Linked DNA regions of Solanum lycopersicum. The protein of the gene in region 4 binds, or shares a complex with, the protein of the main gene of each other region. Links are inferred from orthologs where the notes say so. Each region holds a gene or a part of one and is shown on either strand. Other genes may lie near its edges. The genes, in order: WPP domain-interacting tail-anchored protein 1, myosin-15, RAN GTPase-activating protein 1, WPP domain-interacting protein 1 and RAN GTPase-activating protein 2.

Evidence for each region.
Region 1: WPP domain-interacting protein 1 (region 4) and WPP domain-interacting tail-anchored protein 1 share a complex: the UniProt entries of both Arabidopsis thaliana proteins name them as parts of the ran complex. The link is inferred for Solanum lycopersicum from reciprocal best matches to the Arabidopsis thaliana genes WIP1 and WIT1.
Region 2: WPP domain-interacting protein 1 (region 4) and myosin-15 share a complex: the UniProt entries of both Arabidopsis thaliana proteins name them as parts of the LINC complex. The link is inferred for Solanum lycopersicum from reciprocal best matches to the Arabidopsis thaliana genes WIP1 and XI-I.
Region 3: WPP domain-interacting protein 1 (region 4) and RAN GTPase-activating protein 1 share a complex: the UniProt entries of both Arabidopsis thaliana proteins name them as parts of the ran complex. The link is inferred for Solanum lycopersicum from reciprocal best matches to the Arabidopsis thaliana genes WIP1 and RANGAP1.
Region 5: WPP domain-interacting protein 1 (region 4) and RAN GTPase-activating protein 2 share a complex: the UniProt entries of both Arabidopsis thaliana proteins name them as parts of the ran complex. The link is inferred for Solanum lycopersicum from reciprocal best matches to the Arabidopsis thaliana genes WIP1 and RANGAP2.

Annotation. Positions count from the first base shown.
Region 1 is NC_090801.1:52,969,683-52,972,965, reverse strand, and holds part of WPP domain-interacting tail-anchored protein 1, read left to right. Parts: intron 1-408; coding exon 409-1,511; intron 1,512-2,677; coding exon 2,678-2,866; intron 2,867-3,160; coding exon 3,161-3,283. UniProt on the Arabidopsis thaliana protein: Together with WIT2, required for the nuclear envelope docking of RANGAP proteins in root tips.
Region 2 is NC_090807.1:50,288,937-50,293,178, reverse strand, and holds the start of myosin-15, read left to right. Parts: upstream 1-1,429; 5' UTR 1,430-1,573; coding exon of another isoform or gene 1,574-1,619; 5' UTR 1,620-1,816; coding exon 1,817-1,936; intron 1,937-2,023; coding exon 2,024-2,167; intron 2,168-3,076; coding exon 3,077-3,222; intron 3,223-3,311; coding exon 3,312-3,468; intron 3,469-4,242. Other genes in the region: uncharacterized protein, read right to left, coding at 1,574-1,619. UniProt on the Arabidopsis thaliana protein: Myosin heavy chain that is required for the cell cycle-regulated transport of various organelles and proteins for their segregation.
Region 3 is NC_090808.1:59,911,040-59,914,995, reverse strand, and holds the start of RAN GTPase-activating protein 1, read left to right. Parts: upstream 1-1,150; 5' UTR 1,151-1,435; intron 1,436-3,956. UniProt on the Arabidopsis thaliana protein: GTPase activator for the nuclear Ras-related regulatory protein Ran, converting it to the putatively inactive GDP-bound state. Plays a role in spatial signaling during cell division.
Region 4 is NC_090809.1:846,335-850,348, reverse strand, and holds the start of WPP domain-interacting protein 1, read right to left. Parts: upstream 2,807-4,014; 5' UTR 2,462-2,806; intron 1,915-2,461; 5' UTR 1,835-1,914; coding exon 814-1,834; intron 1-813. UniProt on the Arabidopsis thaliana protein: Mediates and enhances the nuclear envelope docking of RANGAP proteins mediated by WIT1 and WIT2 in the undifferentiated cells of root tips.
Region 5 is NC_090800.1:74,925,835-74,929,851, reverse strand, and holds the start of RAN GTPase-activating protein 2, read right to left. Parts: upstream 2,811-4,017; 5' UTR 2,716-2,810; exon of another isoform or gene 2,667-2,715; intron 1,794-2,666; 5' UTR 1,783-1,793; coding exon 130-1,782; 3' UTR 1-129. UniProt on the Arabidopsis thaliana protein: GTPase activator for the nuclear Ras-related regulatory protein Ran, converting it to the putatively inactive GDP-bound state.

The DNA.
Region 1 (3,283 bases), on a different chromosome or scaffold from region 4:
GTGTTTTTTTGTCTCTGGACTTGAAATTTGAACCTGGGACCTCAAGGTGCTCAATTCATTTCATTGATCACTAAGCGACACCCAAGTGGATGCGTGTCCTTTCATGTTGAGCAGTATTTGGTGTTTTATGCTCTACGCAATTTACTTATCCCACAAACCTTTTCGATGCTGATTGACCACCCCTTTGGATAATATATGGAAAAAGGAAGATAGAGGAGAAAAGAAGAATGTCTGCAAATATTAATGATTTTATTTCTTCTAGCCATGCATGTCTGGACAAGGAAATGTGAATTGGTTCTCTCTGCATGAGGCGTTTTGTTGCTATTATGTGCTTGACTTAAAACAAGTAACTTTTGTGACATTAATCATCCTTATATAATCATACTTCATGCTGATGCATCTTGACAGGGCAAGATGGCGAGGCAGCAGACTATTTTAACAGTGATGCACTTTTAACTCCAAAGACGAAGATAAAAATGCAGACTGTTGAGCAGCAGAGACACATTCTGCGGATGCTGGAGAAGTCTTTGGCCAGAGAGTTAGATCTTGAAAAGAAGCTTACTGAATCTAGACAAGTTGAAGAAGAATTAGAAGTCAGGTTGCAGCAAGAAGCTTTCTGCATGGAGGAAGAAATTGAAGATGCTTCGCAAAGGTTGTTTGAGGGAGAGAATGCTGCTGAAGTTCTTTTAGGAATTTCAAAATCACTACTGGGTCGACTCCAGATGACACATTTTAATCTGAACGGTACTGTTCAGAAAGAAAGCTACTTACAATCTAAACTTCAAGAAATGGAGGAACATTTAAAAGCAAAAGACAACTTACTAGGGAAGTCTGAAAGCACTTCTAAAGAGCTCGGGGACAAGGTTAAATCTCTTGAGAAACGGTTGGAGGACTCTGAGTTCCAGCTGTCCAATACAACATCTGCAAGGAATAGTCAGGAGATAGAATCTAAGATCCTTGAAATGGAGGATATAATCAATACGTTGAAGGAAAAGAATTCTGAAGCAGAGAGAAGAATTGATACAGCAGAAACTGAGTGTAAAATATTGAAAGAAGCAAATGTGGAACTTGACAAAGAGCTGAACTTCCTGAAAAGCAGTAGTAGCATTACTTCTGAGAGGATAATTGTGCTTGAAAAACAGCTGAGGAACTCTGAGCTTCAACTTCAGCACGCAGTTGCATCTGCTGAAGCTAGTCAAGAGAAGCAAATCATGTTGAATTCTACAATCAAAGACATGGAAGATTTGATTGAGGATCTAAAATCAAAGGTTTCTAAAGCAGAAAGTTTGATGGAGAGTGCTGAAGATAAGTGCATTATCTTGTCAGAATCTAACTCAGATCTTAATGAAGAATTAACTTTTGTGAGGGGTAGGTTGGCATGTTTGGAGTCATCGTTACGCCAAGCTGAGGAAATGAAGAAGGCTACTGCCCGAGATATTAACTTCCGCAGTAAATTGATAACAGATCTAATTTTGCAGTTGGCTCTTGAAAGAGAGAGACTTGAAAAACAGGTTTGTCACTCCTTCCTGACTCTCATTCCTGTTATGACTGGAATTATCTTGATAACATGTACGACTTCCCTTTTCCTCCATCTATCCAGTTATTTTGAGTTTTTTTGTCTATTGACATGGTTAATGGCCTTAAATGCCGATTGATGACTGCGTAATTGAATACCAGTTATTAATCTGAAGCAGCCTAAATTATGCCTAATTATGAGATGGCATTTGGATAAGACGAAGTTTTGTGTCAAAAAAAAATATATTTATTATTCATGCACTTTGGTGGAATCTTAGCAGCTTCATTATTTTAATGACTTCTAAAATGCAGTTGTTGTGTGTGCAAGCTTGTCTGTATAGTTGATGCATTTTGTCCTTTTCCTTTTTTTACTTGTTTTAGCAGCAATATCTGTTCATTCGATCGAGTTTGACATTTTCTCGCTCTGAATTTAGTCAACTTTTCAGAGTTCGTGACCATATAGATCACACTGTAATCGTTAGAAGTATTTCTTACTGATAATGTATATGCATAGACGCGCACACAGACCCCATGCACACATTTTCTTGTTTGATAAACAAGTATTTTAAACGTCAGGTATTCTTGAGTTTCCAATGATCTCTACAGGTTCACATATTCGGGTTTTATCCTTCCTATAACACTAACACTTGTACCACTTCCAGTGGCTTCTTTCACTGAGCAAAAACAGTCATGGTCAAAGGAAAGGAATGAAAGTGGGCTGAAGCAGCGCAAGTCTGTGCACACTTGAAAGTTTTAATGGTGTTTGTTGATAATTATTACAGCAACCTCCCGTTGCAACATTTGCTCTTATTGTAGGAAGAAATTGGCTTAAAAGGAAGAGTTGAACGAGCTATACAAGACGATTTTGACCATTATTAAAAAAATTTGCTCTATATTAAAATTAGTTAGTCAGATTTTCAAAATAGTTGTTTTTATAAGTAGAGTATGAGTTGTGCTTAACTTGTGACAAGTTATTCAGTTTCCAGCTTGGCCTTTTGTGGTTAAAGTTGGTTATTCTTTCCTGCATGACTTCTTCATGGAAGAGAGTTCATTTGGACTAAATGTTAGAACAAAAGCATTGTTTGAAGACTATTAAAACATGGACGTAATTGTATAATTTTTCTCATCTAGATTAGTGTTTTTTCTGCAAAAAAATGTTCAGATAGCATTGCTGATAATGGAAAATAAGGCCCAGAAGAAGCCTTTTCAGCAAAAGGATAAAGTTCCTTCGCCAGCTCCCGAAAGTGATGGCAAAGATACCAGGGAATCCATGCTTCCCAAGGCTGAGCTTTCTGCTGTAACTTCTCTGAATAAATGCAAGGAAGAAAAGTTCTCATCAATAACTAATGTGGTACGTGCTTTATTTGGTCTTATGCTTATTTTTATTCACGACTCACGAGTCATATGTTCTTCTGGTTATTTCAGTATTTGAATTTACTATTTTAGATACCAGTCAACTATTATATTTTGATGCTGTACATCCCATCATCAGCCAAATAACCTTAGCTGTGTGCCTGTGCCTATAAGTGAAAAGATCTTGAGTACTTTGTTTTACTCAAAGCTTAACTTATCTGGTTGACAACTTAGCAAAGGAAAGATGCCTAACTCTGTTGTGGCACCATTGTTTCTGTTAATTCATTTTCAGGAAGAGAATGTTTATGGTGACTTTATGTCGATCAAGTCAAAAGAGACTGATTCTTCAACCAGACTTGATGCCTCGCGGGACATAGATGCAAGGCAGCTTAGTTGGAAGTATGTCCTTGCAGCA
Region 2 (4,242 bases), on a different chromosome or scaffold from region 4:
TTAAATTAATCAATATTAATTTATCAATTAAATAATACTTTTATAAAATAATAATATTTCATGGTCTCATTTATATTAATTTAGCGAGATTACAATCCCAATGACATCTCCCTTATTTAAAGGTCCATTTGGCCATGTGATATGAAACCACAATTTAAAGTTATGATATGAAATCATAACATAAAATTATGAGACATATTTGAAGTTTTGTTTGAATATGCAGTTTGAACTTTTTATATTGTATGTTTTTTAATAAACATAAAAAATTACAAGTTGTAAACTATTAAAATTATCCCATTCTTTATACAATCTTACCAAACAAATAAAAATTTATAAAATTGTACAATATATTATCACAAAGCTATTGTAAAGATACAACATTTATGGATCTAACCTTAATTCAATAAAAATAAACTGAACATAAGTTTAGTATTCAAGTTGTTAGTAGCTAAGAAAAAAATTTGCTCAATTAAAGCCGCAATAATTAGTCATGTCCACTCAATATAATGATGACTTTTTATTATTAATAAACACTGATTAGATGAAGTCGTAATAAATTTAATTTAAAATAATCAATTTGGTGAATATAAATGATAAATTAAGAATTGATTTGAAGTAAACAAAGATTTTATATTAACGAAAATATTCGTTATATAGAATATAAATGGTTTAATAAGTAATGATAAGAATTATAAATTTTATTTACATATAAAATAAAAAGCTAGTAAATATATATAAATTAAATACAATTTTTTTTAAAAAAAATATAAAACTTGTAATCAGTTTTTGTATTTGGAAAATTTCAAATCATAAATTTTGGAGAATTTAAATTTTTATGTATAATATAAAATTATGAGATAGAATCAACTTTAAATCACATGTTCAAATTAGTTTTCATCTCATTTATCTATGGAAGGATAAATTTGAAAGAGAACAATTAATACTTTCTTAATTAATAAAAAAATAATTTATTTTTAAATTAAATATAAAAGTTAAAATACCCTAGGGAATGAAGTATGATTTAGGTTGCCGTCCCACTATTAACAAGATTCACAAGTATGGTCATAAACTCATAAGTGAAACTTAAAGTAAATATACTATAATAATTTTCTTTTTTATTATTTATAGTAATAATTTTTTTTCACTTGATTATTTAATTAATTAATATAATATTATAAACAATAATTTATTATTCACATATAATATAAATTCTAGTGATGAATGATATATTTATCACACATTTTAATACACTTATAAAATAATGTGACAATTTTTTATCAAACAAATATGATATATTTCAATAAATAATTATAAATTCATATATATTGCATAAATAATTTTACTTTTAATATATATTACAAATATAACATAATATTGCTATAAATAATAATAAACAAAAAATATTGCTAATAATCAATAATTATTTTTAAAATTTATTAATTTATGTAATTTTACAACAGAATAGGTGCTTAAGCAATCAAATCCCAAAATAAGAAAGTTTTGAAAAAGTAGTACCTCAAAGTGTAAATGTGGAGCTATAAGTTTCCCGTTTAGTAAATATTCTTAAGATAACGCTGGGAACTGAGAGCCAAAAATTTGGACTCTGTCAGATTCTCCATTTTTGGTTTTAGGGCGGGAAGCTGAAATAATCAACCTCTTCTTCTTTGTTGTTATCGTCCTTTTTTCTTTCTCTCTCTAGGGTTTTGCGTATTGCTGAAACCAATTCAAATATCAAATCCGAAAAATCCCCAAATTTTCACTGAAACCAGTTGTTGTTCTTCTTTCATGTCAATTTAAGCTAATCCAAACCCATAATATGACACTACGAAAGGGTTCTAATGTATGGGTCGAAGACAAAAGTTCCGCTTGGGTTGCTGCTCAAGTGACTGATTTTATTGGTAAACAAGTCCAAGTGGTTACTGAATATGGCAAGAAAGTGAGACGAACACTTGGTTATGAATTTTCTCTGTTAATTTTGGTCAAATGGGTTGATGGAAAATGTGACTGAATTTTGTTTTTTTAGGTATTGTCATCACCGGAGAAGCTGTATCCAAGGGATGAAGAGGCAGACCATGGAGGGGTTGATGATATGACCAAATTGACTTATTTGAATGAGCCTGGAGTTTTAGACAACCTTCAGAGAAGATATGGTCTTAATGAAATTTATGTGAGTTGTGAATTTATAATTCTTGGTATTTCTTTTTATATACACAATATCTTCCAACTGTATAAATTAAGAAAAAGCTAGGATCTTTATATTGATAAGAGTATCATGTCTTCACGTAGTTAAGATGCCACTTCTAACATTAATTACTGTTTTAAGAAGGATGCTTTGGGCATGGAACTGGTGTGTGTGTGTGTGTGGGGGGGGGGGGCTACCGCAACTGATTGTATACTGTTTGCTTTGAAGGAGGAATGAAAACAAAATGCATCACAATTAAAATAAAGGTTCCTTATCTTATTTCTTGAAGCATTGTGATTCTTTGTGATGTCTATGTACAAAAAAAGAAGTAAAAAAGTTTGCTAAAATAGTTCCTTTTATAACCCATTTAGAGTTCTAGCAATAAGATAATTAAACTCCAGAATCAACCAGTGCCAATTTTGGTATAGTTCGGGGTTCTACGTTGGCTCTGATAGATGAATAGTAAATACCTTGTTCTGAATGTCCCTTTGTTATTCGACGAAAATGGGTATTAAGACACTTTATTGACTTTTATTCACTATAGTAGATTGATTTCCCCCCCTAGATCACTGCAGTGTGTTTGCAATATTTGTCTAAGTATGTCCTTGATAATATTTTGGTGAGGAAAGAGTGAAAGCTATTTCTTGTGACTGCTTCTAAAATATCTTGATCATGGATTTTGACATATGTTGTGCTCACCTAAATGTTGAACCAAAAGCTACTGTTATCAAATTACGTTCGTTATTTAAGAATCATCATTCGCCTGGTTGGGTTTCACCAGGTGCATTTTTTGTCTTCATTAGCTTTAATAACCATTTTCTTATATGCTCTAACACCATCATCCTACAGGGTGCGTTGCAACATAATTGATTTCTCTCTTTTTTCCTTAAATAGACATATACAGGAAGTATCTTAATAGCTGTCAATCCATTCACTAAACTTCCACATCTGTACAATGTACACATGATGGAGCAATATAAAGGAGCTCCGTTTGGTGAGCTTAGCCCTCATGTGTTTGCTGTGGCTGATGCATCGTACAGGTTTGTTGACTTGTCATTTGGGGATCTGGTGACTTTTTCCTAAAGTGAATCAATTAGTGATTTGTTTTTGCTCAAATTTTCCTTGTCAGGGCTATGATGTCTGAGAACCAAAGCCAATCTATATTGGTTAGCGGCGAAAGTGGAGCAGGGAAAACAGAGACCACAAAGTTGATAATGCAATACCTTACCTATGTTGGTGGTCGTGCTGCTGCTGATGACCGAACAGTTGAACAACAAGTTCTCGAGGTACTGCTGCTTACTGGTTTTATAGGCATAACATCAAATGGTGATTTTGTTTGCAACTTTAGGAATTTCAATTATAGGGTCTTTTCTGTTATTTTCTTAGAAGGGTGTCAATTTTTGTTCGGCATGTCAACATAGAGCGTCTCCCACTGAAGACTGATTGCTTGGTGATCTATTAGCTTCATTAGAATGTCTTTTTCAATTACTTAATCTCATGTACTATTTTTTCTAGGACTATTGTTGTCTCTGTTAATGAGAGCAATTTTTATTTTTAATATTATAAAAAACTTGACAGTAGCAGTCAGGTATGACTTATTATTTACCAAATACCTAGAAAGTGCAGTTTCCAATCGGTCAGAGTACAGACAACATTCTTCTTTATGAGCTATGGAGGAAATTAGCTATAGTTTTTTCTTCAACTTCACCTATATGACATCTATTTTGCAGTAAAATACTCCACTTCATTAGGTTATCCCATGAGAGGCAAATTTTGTTGATTGCAATCCACCAAGAGTGTGCCACCTTAGGAGGTGCCTTGCTTTCCCAGATTGCCTTCTACAGTCCCCTCTTCCTTGTTGTATAGAAAATAAAGTTTTATAGCTAGATTTGGCAGTATAAATACCTTTATTATCATTTATTGTCTCTATGTCATTGCGTTCATTAGTTCATTCCTTCTCCAAGTTGAGACCGTCCTATTTCCAATTTGACAAGTTTCTTCTTCTTTTTGTAAATAAATTCCGTTCTCAGATCCACTATAGTTGTATGCAGTGCACTACC
Region 3 (3,956 bases), on a different chromosome or scaffold from region 4:
ATTCAATGGAAGCAGTGCAGGAACATAAAGGAAATAACATAAATAAACATCACGGAGATAGTCACGTAAACAGAATGCATATTTAAAAAACATCAGACACAAGAGGAAGCATAAAGCACAAATATTTCAAGATGAAGTATGCTTCTTAGAGGGAAGTAAAATTGAGCAAAACAAAGCTACAAATAGAGTTTCTAGCTATAAAAGAAACTTTAATATAAAGGGGGCTTGTTGGTCAAATTATTTGAGTTGGGAGTTAATGACACCAGGAATAAACGGAACATCAAGCGCACAATCGGAGTCAAATATGAGCAAAAACGAAGCCCACCTATGATCCCTTGGGACTACACCTCGATCTGAAAGGGAACGAGAATCAGTAGCTCATACACGAAAGAAAAAGAAGGATATAAGGACGAAAATCTTACATGTAAGCAAGGAGGGCGGTAGAACTTCAAAGGCATTCAAGGAGCTAGATGGAATGATACCACGTCAAAAATCACAAAGATTACTTGGTCAACCATGAAGGAGACAACTTAGAAACGGCGGAGAAAGGATGGAAATGGGGTAGGGTTTTAAGAAAGTCAAGTGAAAGGATAGTTGATGGAAGAGTTTTGGAAACTCTACATATTATTTCCTTTTGGACCCGGGTACTACTTTTTGGGCCAAGTCATTTGTTGTTTCATGTACTAATCGGGCATTAGCCTACACTAATAAGATGATCTTCTATCAAAAAATTAATTTTAAAAAACATTTTAGTGAATTATGATTATACAAAGTAATAAAAAATCTTAATCGAACATACCAAGAGGTTGCTAAGATATCGGAGATAACAATATTAGATTAAACCATCATAAGAATCAATAATAGATTCAAATACAAACATCTACTGCAATTTAAAATAATTCCCCAAAATATCAATAGGTAATGATGACCTTTTGTGGATATTTTCAGATTAATAAAAGAGATCATAAAACTCTAGATGAGGAATTCAACGGCTCAGGGGGAAAGAGAACCATGAATAGAAAAATCCCAAGTTGAACGATTGTTATAGAGTTTGAGAGCGAGAAAACAATTAAACAGATGAATATTTTTAAATATTAAAAAGAAATAGAATAGAAATGAGATTTAACGAGTGTAGTATAAAAAACTTTACACTATAGTGCACACAAGTTAATTCTCCTATTTCAAATAGTTAAAAGAATAATTTTGGCCCTTTTTGTGGCTTAAAAAAAGGGGCATTTTCCCTCCAAATCGAATTCCTCAAAAATTCACGACAGCAGCACACGACTATCATGATTGCACATAACTTGTATTTGAATTAGTTTTAATTATCTCTTTATCTTTACTCCAACTCCACGTCTCTCTCCCCTCTCTTTTCTAGGGTTTTTTGGATCTCTCTCTTATCCCACTTCGCCACTTCTAGGGTTTCTTCCAACCAGTAAGTTTCCTCTTACTCCTCTCTGTTTACATTCATTCATGAAGATTTTAGGTCTGATTTTGTTTTGTATTGTTCCATTTGTCTATTCCTTCAATTATGGTTGCATTTCCTTCTTTTTTTTCATCATTTGAATGATATTTTCTGCTTCGTTTTAACGAATACTGAGACTCACTTTTAAGTATTTGAATTAGAATATAGTTTATGTTTCAGTGTAGATTTTGATGGAGTTCAATGAGTTATGCCTCAAATCTTAGAATAGTTGATGTAGACAATGTGAATCATTTGTATCTGTTCTGCTCTATGTGTGCCAGTTTTTAGTTTTGTTTAGTATATTTAGAAATGGACATTGAAGGGAAATGCATTTTTTAATGATGGCCTTAAGGATGAAGGTGTTTGGTTGGATTTTGTTTGTACTAAAATGGAAGAAATGTGATATAGTGGGATTTGTGAACTCTTATTCATGGCTCTGCTGGTTACACTTATTCCTTAAGACCTTCAGTGGCAAGTATTATTGTTTTTGTTTTTCTGTAGTACTCTGTAGAAAACTTGAGAAGTCCCAGTGATTTGAAAGAGGCATGCTTAGTTCTTGATGGCTCCTTCTATCTAACAACGCCGGACAAATGAAATAGTACAAAATTTGTTTTGATTCCGTGATCGATCAATCTTCGTCTTCAAGAGGAAGGGAGTGAGGGAGAAGCAAAAGATGGAGTCTTTAGTCCTGTGGCTATCTGAAAATTTTCCCATTAATCAACACAAAATGCCAATAAATCTATTTCTTATTTTCTCTTGAATTCTATTTGAATTATTGCTTGATGCAAGGGAAAAACCAAATGCTATAAACTCAAAAACTTTGAGATATGAACTCAAAAACTTGCTCGAACCTTGACTAATTCCATGTGGTACCTTCTACCTTCACCAACACAATTACCAGTTAACTCTGTCAACCAAGGCTTAAACAAATAAGAAGAAATCACCTAGTGTTTTTGCTGCTGATGGAAAATGAACTCATGATCTCATGGTTCTCAACCCCTTTCCTTGACCACTGGGACACACCCTTGGGTGCCTCAAGCATAATGAGTTTTTGTGTGATATTTGCTCACAAACTTTAGAAATTACTTTGGGAAGTAAAAGAATAGTCATCTTGAATCATGGATAGTAGCTTATCATAAAAGTGCATTTTCTTTTTATTTGGAGATGAGATGGCAGCAAAAATGGAATAGTTCACCACCTTTTGTGAGCCTTTTGGCCCTCTACAAAAGGGAAACAATAATACTTCAATAGATTAATCGAGCTCTTAGCCTTCTAATGGTAAGTGCTTAGATTTGCTCAACTGACAAGATATAACGGTTAAAAGTCTGAAGTCAACTTCCTTTTTTGGATCAAATATATGATTTATCATTTAGTTAAATACATTGTATTTGGTGCACAGGGGAGATGTTTCGTTTGAGGAAGATATTACCTTATTGCACCAGTGTGATGCTTGTATGTAATTTTAACTCTTGTGTCTGTGTTTTGCAACTTATGACCATGACCTGAATGTCAATATGCACGATCCTTACTGTTATCATATGACTAATATCATTTTAGAAGTCTTGCATTTATTGGTCATTCTGCTAGTGCAGTGAGATAAAATAAATCTGCTGATCAAGTGACTGCAAACAAGATGCCATCTGTACTTATTTTATGTGCATTGCAGCACCTCAGCTGAAAAGCTTGGAAGGTGCTGAGAAAAGACAAGAAATTGGAACAATTTAATATTAACTGACGTCAAATGTCAGAACTCAGAACTGTTTGTTGCTACTTGCTTGTTGTGGGACAACTCATGTTTATTATCCTGAGGATATATACTTGTAAGAAACATTATTCAAATGATAGACTATGGAAGAAATCTTCCTTTTTCTTTGAAACTCAAAAGTAACAGTGCTGTGTGGAAAATAGCGAAGCTTGTTGCTGATAATGCTTGGTGGTTAATTGTTAGTCTTGTTTCCCATAGTACTTTCTTGTGGAAAGTACCACTAGGCAGGTGCGGATCCACATAGAGCTTCGGTGCTCGAGCACCCATGGACCCCTACGTGAAATGTATATAGGTATATAAAAAATACTATGCAACCTATATAATTAATTAGTAAGCACCCGTTAAATAACTGTTGGATGTGACTCGTTGGTTAGTAAGTGGGTGCTGAAGCTGTGGTACCGCAGGTCACGAGATTGATCCTCCACAAGTAATTTTTATATACTTATTAAGCTGTCTAATTTTCTATGTTTAGCATAAGATATTCACGAGTGTAAGAGATGTTATTATTACTCATTTTAATTTTAAAATGCGAAAAGTCGTCGAGTACATTATAATTTGACTCAGTCTTCTTTCCCGATAGTAATATTAAACATGACTTTTGCGTTAATGTTTTTCACTATTGTGTTTAAATAGTATTTGCACTTGTACTAAATGAACAGTAAAATTTAATGTTAAAAAAAGTGAAGCACCTACTAACTTCAGATCCTTGATCCGCCACTGCCTCAG
Region 4 (4,014 bases):
GTTGGCTATTCATGCCTTAAATTGGACAGAATTATCTCTCCTCCAAAACCTTTTTTGTGGTAAAAAATAGAACAGAACATGTTAATTACAGCCAATGAAAATGCACGTCCTGGTGCTTAAACTACATATCTTGAGCAAGCCAACAATATCAAAATAATAAATAGCAACACATTTATCCACCTTCAATGTTGCAATATCAGAATTTATTATAACAAATAGATATCAACTTTTCAAAGAGTATAACCAATATTTCATCATAAAAAAATAAAAAAAAGCATAACCAACATCTGTTGTACTAGCTACGAACAAAGTTAAAGGATTATTTTAGGCAAACTGAAGAACTTAATGGTATTGTTTCAATAACCTTAACTCTTTTGACATAATCTTGATTCTTGAAGCAATAAATGCATCATAGCGAAAACCATTAGAACACACTCAAATCCTTCTATTATGTACATAACCATTAAGATTACCAATACTACATCAGATCGAATTTCATGACTTGCTGTCACCTCTTCCTGAAGCAATGCCAGTCCTAAATTCTTGGGCATGACAACAAAATGTTCAAATTTGGGGAAAGCAGGGACGCGTCCGGGTCGCGGGGTGTGGGGACGTCGCACATAACTATGCAATGACTGCAATCATTCTAATACTTCTTTGAACTTAGAATAAACTTCCACCCAAAAAAGAAATTTGCTTCATACAATATGCTGAAGACTCCAAGCAGAAAATAGAAGGCATAATCAAAACCAAAAAAAGAACATACTAGAATAGGCTCAAAATCGTATACTTCAAAGAAAACTGAAGATCTACCTCTTTCAAGATTTTCCTGAGCAGCTTGAAGGGTGAAGATAGACTCCAGCAGAGGATCATGATCTGTGGACAACCCCTGATACCCACTCCTCTCTTCTTTAACCTCCCAGGCGGATTCAACGCCTAGATCTTCTTGAGTTTCACACTCCTTATCATTTCTTCTGTCTAGAGCAGTCTGAAGTTCCTCGCTGAATGGTCTTTCTCTGGTGAGAACTTCATCACTGAATTGTCCATCATTATTCACTGAGCTTCCACCTTTCATACCATTACTTGTTGCATGATTATTACTCTGCATAGGTAGAAAATTGGAGCTTTGTGAGTCGGATTCCATGCTTGAATGAGAGTTTTCCTTCTCTATTTTGACCCTTTCTCCTCTAGGCTTTTTACTAATTTCAGCCTGACCCTTTCCCCGATGAGATTGCTGAGCTGAAGTACCCATCTTCCCACCCAAAGTACCTGGCCCATTCTTAACAGGCATATAACCATGGAAAACAGGTGCTTCGTACCTTGACTTTGGAGCACTGGCTGCAGTCGAAGACCTACTACTCCGATCCTCACTATTTTCCGAGTCTGTTCCACCCAAAAATATAGGATGAATCGCCAACCCAGAATTACCAATAAGACCAAAGCCATCAACAAGAACATCAGGGCTACCCAATAGTGCATTTACTGAAGAAACAGATCCATCACTATTTCGGATCGATCCAGTGGACAAATGTACAGGTTTTGCTGAGTTTGCAGCAGAGCTCGACAAACCACGCTTCAACAACTTAGCATTGTCTGTGTTACTGTCCTCATCCTTGTGTGCTTCCCGCCTGATCCTCCTCCATTTCTTCAAGCCAAATCCTTTAGCTGTTGGTGAGGATTTCACTGAGGGAGGTGAACCCACTGGGTCCGCAGTTTCAATACCTTTACCTTTAGACTCATCTAAAATAGGGGTATTGTGATTAATAACACTGGAACCATTGCTTTCAACCTTGTTCCGATCTGGATCATCCAAATCTTGAAGTGTGGTGGTCATTGCTTCATGTCTTCCACCAACTAAAGCTCCAAACTTTGACCAATCAAGTTCGATTACAGCATAAAGTTCAGGGTTTTAGCCTTTTAGACAACATAAAGAAGAAGAATAAGTCAGATCGAGATCGAGAATTTACTTACATAACTTGGATAAATGAATTGGATTATCCGATCATTACACTAACAGCAACAAACTAATTGGATTTAGCTAAACAAATCATCACTATCGATTATACTCAATCTGGAACCAAAGATGAATCCAGTAAATTGATAATGAACTGAATAGACAAATAAAAGTTGGGAAAGCGACAGAACACTACATAAACAGAAAGTCCAATATAAGCAGATTAAACTGCACTCATTATTAAATGAAAAAAACAGAAATGAAGAACTCAGATCAAGATCGAGAACAAACAAACAACCATCATTCCAGTTCATGGAAACTGAAAATCTATCAAAATTCACTATAAATTGAATTGCATAGCTTGAGTAAAAATTCCAGCTAAAAACACTAACAACAACAGCAAAATAAGTGGATTCAGCTAAATGAATGGATTATGCTCAATTTGGAACTAAAAATGAATTCATAAATTTGTGAAGCTATATAAAAAGAATACGAAATCGTTCATACCTTCTCCTCCATGATCGATGGATTTGCAGAAATGAGATGGAATTGAGGAATATGGAAACCCTAGATTTGATGTGGATTCAGAAATTTATAGCCACAAAATTGCTACAACTGATAATTTGGGGAAGACGACTTGAAAAGGAGTGGGGTAGATCGGGTCGGGTTGGGAGTTGTTAATAATACGTAATTGATTATTATTATTTTCAATAATTTTATTAATTATTATATGAACTATAGGAAGAAGTTGACAACTTCAATTTTTTTTTCTAATTTACTATTGACATTACGAAAGATTAAGAATTTGGGGGATTACTTTATGTTTGCGATGGAATCACTACACAATAACTCGATATTTATGATGCACGATTTGAAATTTCAATAAGCAATAAACTCGCTTATTATTATCTTCCACTTAAATTTCTAACTTGATGTTTAAAATTCATAACGTGTATAACTCATAGTCACAATATATTCTATATCTAAGTGCAATATCACTAAGAAAGGTCGAATATTAGTAGTGCACGATTTGAAATCTCGATAGAAGATTATACTTTTTAACTTAAATACCAAATGTGACCGTTTCATCAACAACATTGTTTTGTTTGGTACAAATGTGATAATTTCTATAACATGCTATTACACAACGGTAACCAAAATTAAAACGTTAGCTTAACTTATTATATCAATCAAATCATTAAAAATATATATATAAAAAGAAATCATATTAGTTTTGTAAAAATTTAACACAACCAATTTGATTTAATTGGTTAAAAACTATTCTTTGTACTTATTTTTTATAATGAATAAAGTTGTGTTAGTCCACGTGAAATATTTCCTTTAGATTAATGAACTAAGTTAAGAATTATGCAAGTATCGAATATAAATTTTGTAATATCTTTTCATTTGTACATAACTTTATGTGAAAAAAGTTTACATATATGTATTGATGGGAGGTAAAGATTAGTAGATATCTTATTAAAATATAATCGAGATACGTATAAACTAACTCAGACGTCACGATTATAATAAAAGGATGTGGATAGAACATGGGAGAGCCAAGAAGATAAAGAGACCAAAGTGGGGCAAAGTAGTGTGCAGATGATGTGGAAACCCACATGATGCAGTGTTTTTTAGGGGAAAAAAATGGAAAATGACACTGCAGAAATAACTAAGTGGAGGTCAAATCTGTGTGTTCAATTATTGATGGAATCTTCTTTGTGTGAGAGGAAATAATTAGGCACTTTGCCAGAGTATTTGACAGAGAAACATGTTGCATTTAATTGTTACCTTCCCATATATTTGTATTTTCAAAAACGATCTCTCTATCTTCACGAGTAAGATCTATATTTATTTTTGAAAAACGATCTCTCTATCTTCACGAATAAGATCTACATTTATTTTCAAAAAAACAAAAGAGTTCTCTTCGAATAAATGGATTGTTCTATCTTTTTGTTTCCTTCAATAAGGAACACTTCACCTCATGGCAATTTCCAACACGAATCCAAATTAATTGATTCTAAAGCTAATATTGTACCTCGAGTGACAACAAAAGAGGT
Region 5 (4,017 bases), on a different chromosome or scaffold from region 4:
AAATTTAAATTACTGATGGAACTATATGTTAGAAGCACTTGCTGGAGGAACATAATATGGCCAGCTTAGCATAAAGAAAATGGTAAAACTAAAACTGCCACATGCAGAAAAATCGTCAAGTACTGGATTCTAATTGCTATCTGGTGCGTGTGCGTCAACACTTGCCTCTTGCTTGACGTCCAGGTTTTTCAGTTTTGATTCTAGTTCATCCTCAACGTCCTCATCTCCAGATTCTTTCTCCTCGTCACCCTCGTCTTCTCCTTCCGGGTCATTATCTTCCAGGGATGCAAGCATTTCAGGAGATTTCTTGAAGATCTCTTTCAACTCGTCAACGCCTTCTTCTGAGATGAAATTCCCATTAACATTTAGTAATTTAAACTCATCTTTCTGCAGCACAGTTTGAGCCAGCACCCTAGCCCCAGCCCTCCTTAGTGCATTGCTGCTCATATCAACTTCAGTCAGATGTTTGTGTCCTTCCAATGCCTTGGCAATCTGAATTACACCTTCATCCTTGAGTTCATTCTCACCCAAGCTTAACTTGGCAAGAAGCTGCTTTGCAGCTATACAAGAAGCTATTGCTGAAGCAGCTTCAGCAGTTATATCATTACCTGCCATCTCCAAGACAGCAAGTGAAGGGGCTGAATCTTTAAGAGCGTTAGCTATTGCAATTGCTCCTTCATCCTCTAAATTAAGGTAGCTCAGGTAAATTTCCTTAAGATTTTCATGTTGGCTGAGTGCCTTGCTCAACACAAGACCAACTTCTGGACCAAACATATTGTCTCGCAAATCAAGCTTCTTCAAATGGGAGCACATCCCAAGTGCTTCGCACAAGGCACTCCCTCCTTCAGAACCTACCCTGGTAGAAGAGCACCTGAAATCTTCCAATAAAGGAGAGCGCTTCACAATTTCCGCAATCGCAACAGCCCCTTCATCACCAGTCATATTATTATGAAAATGAAGAATTTTAAGCTTCTCGGTGGAAGGAACTAGCTCGCTAACAGCATTTGCAGCTTCCTGTGAAATCCCATCATTCATCAAAAATAATTCTTCCAAGTTGGTTTGAGACTGAAGGAGCTTTCCAAATGCCCTAACTCCCTTCTCACCAAGAGCATTATCAGAGAGATTCAGAAACTTCAAGTTAGAACCTTCTAGAGCTTCTGAGAATATATTCATGACATCAAGTGCTTCAGCCTCATTTCTTCCGGCAACAAAATCTGACAAATCAACTTCCTTCAACTGATCCTTCAAGGTTGCCAAGATAGGGCCTGCAATACGTGCTGCATCTATACCAAAGCTTCTATTGCTGAAACAAATTTTGCTGTAAGAGTTTCCAGGCTCTTTTAATGGCTTTAAAAGTTCTTGAGCCTCTTCCGCTTCAATAAAAGCCCTTTTACCTTTTGAGATATCAAAAAAGGTCTCCTGAACAGTAGGAACTACCTCAGAAATCGAAATTTCCTTGTCCTCTGATTTGGGAGTCTTTTTTAGAATTTCCAGGATAAGCTTGCTACATTCCCTGGCATAAAGTTGCACAGCAGAACTTCCATCACCATCAGGCTCCTTCTCATAATGTTGATTAGCAATGGTAAAAGCTGCATCTTCAATTTCTTCAGCATTTTTGGCAGCCTCTTCCTTGGATAGACTGCGGTACTTGCGGGTGAAAATGGTTGGACTAGAAAGATTATTCGTCATTCTTTCCACCAGCATTTTTCTTGTGTTCTCACTTGGAGGCCACAGTTTAATTGAAAACGGTCTGCGCTGAGAGTTATCTGTTGTGGCATCCATTGGCAGAAAACCTAGAGTGAAAGGAATATAGTGAATCGTGTCTTTAGTTTCTATAGAAAAATAAAGTGATTATCTTTCAAGAAATATAACCACTATAAGATTAAGCTCTGGCAGTTAAAAACATAACAACCAAAAAACAAAGTACCAGGCAAGAAACAATTCGTGCACACCTACAAGAAAAACTTAACATAAAGCGAATCAAATTTCAAGAGCTCAAATTCTTCGTCATAGAAATCAGATATAATTGTTTGACAACTCAATATTTTCGCCACAAAACACCAAGCAGGTGTCTAAAAGAACGGGAAAGTTTCTACAGTCATCCATCATCAAAAACGAGATTGAATTTTCTCTCATTTTATAACCACCTTGCAATGCACCATATTCATATCCAACAATGTAAAAAAAAACTCAAAAACCAAAAATGGTACATTCCCAGGTATATTCACATTTCACACTATAACACAAAAAAACTTTCTAGGATACAAAAAAAAATACCACACATTACCAAGGAATCATATGAGCAGAACAGAGCAACATATATACAATTTACAGAGCCGCTAAAAACACCAGAAACTTGTAATACAAAACAAAAATCCTTCTTTTTCCCCTACAAACAAAGAAATTTCACGAGAAAAATAAAAACTTTATACCTAACAGTGGGGGTTTGTAGAGTGTAGTCCTCCTCCCAGTAATTGCAACCTCTACTCTACCAACCCCAAAATAATAAACATAAAAAAACTACATAAAAGCAAAAACTAAAGCACATTAAACAAGAAAAAATACTAAAATCCAGCACAGATCTGTGAAATCACATGACCAAAAAAGTTGACTCATACAGAGCATAACCGCGAAAACCCTAAAAATCAAGAGAAAAAGAAAATTACTTTTGGGGATTTTTCTAATTACCGTTGGAGTGAGTGTGTTGTAACTCACCGGCAAACAACGAGAGAGAATGTGTGAGTTCGACGCGCCGCCGGAGAGAGTGGAAGTGAAGAAAATCTCAACTGAAAATGAAGTTAGCAATGTGTGCTGTGTGTTGTGTGGGAACAGTGTTTTTATATTCGACTATCTTGTACTCGAGAGATAACCTAATGTAAAAAAAATATATATATATTTTGAATAATAACTTTTTTTCTTAGTTTAAAATAAACAAATCATTCAAAATCAAAGAATTGTTGGATTTCTTTTTCAAAATATTTTTTATTTAATGAGAATAATTATTACAAAATTAAGCTCATAACAATATAGTTATAAATTGAAAATGGCAAGACATGAAGATAAAGGAGATAATTCTTTTTCTATTACGGTGTATTTTATAAGTATGAAATATTTATATTTATAGATTCAAAAAATCACTCATAAAATAATCTATATGTATAACAGGAAAGGTGATAGTGCTTTCGCGTAAGCGCCACAAAAAATAATATTTTTTTAAAAATAAAAGTTATAAATTGTATTTGAAAAAACTCGTGTATTGATAGTTAGTCATAATTATCAATCCATCAATATATATATATATATATATATATATATAGGTGATAGCGCGCCAAAAAAATAATATTTTTTTAAAATAAAAATTATAACATTGTTTTGAAAAAAAATAAGACATGTTTATTGGTAGTTAGTCGAGGGCTTTTAATCTTTATTTTGAAAAAAATAATTGTAATTTTACTTTTTAAAAATATTATTTTTATAGTACCTACGTGTCAACGCTACAAAAAATAAAATTACAAAATTGTATTTGAAAAAAAAAAACACGTATATTATTAGTTAGTCATATGGGGTTTAATTTTTATTTTGAAAAAAATAATGGTTATCCAACTAAAAAGTTTCAAAACTTCCTACTACACTTCTATTTCTACACAAATTGAAATTTTCTAAAATTAAAGTGCTACTCTTTTAACTTTTTCGTGTTTATATTGTCGAATTTAAAAGTGAGAATATAACAAATTTTGTTCACTATATTAATTTATATCTCTTATTATTATTAGATTTTTATCTATCATAAACATAGAAAGCAATAAATTATGTTCATCATAATATTACTTTAAACAATATCATAATTTTAAGCCATTTAGGCTTTAGCAAATTTAAACTATTCACGAGATTATATGATGTTAGTGAGCAATTTAATATGTTAAATATTAATATTAAAATGCTAATAAACTAACATCTAACAAGATTAAATTAAGTTAAAATTTGCAATATAACTATAATTACACGTAATACAATAAC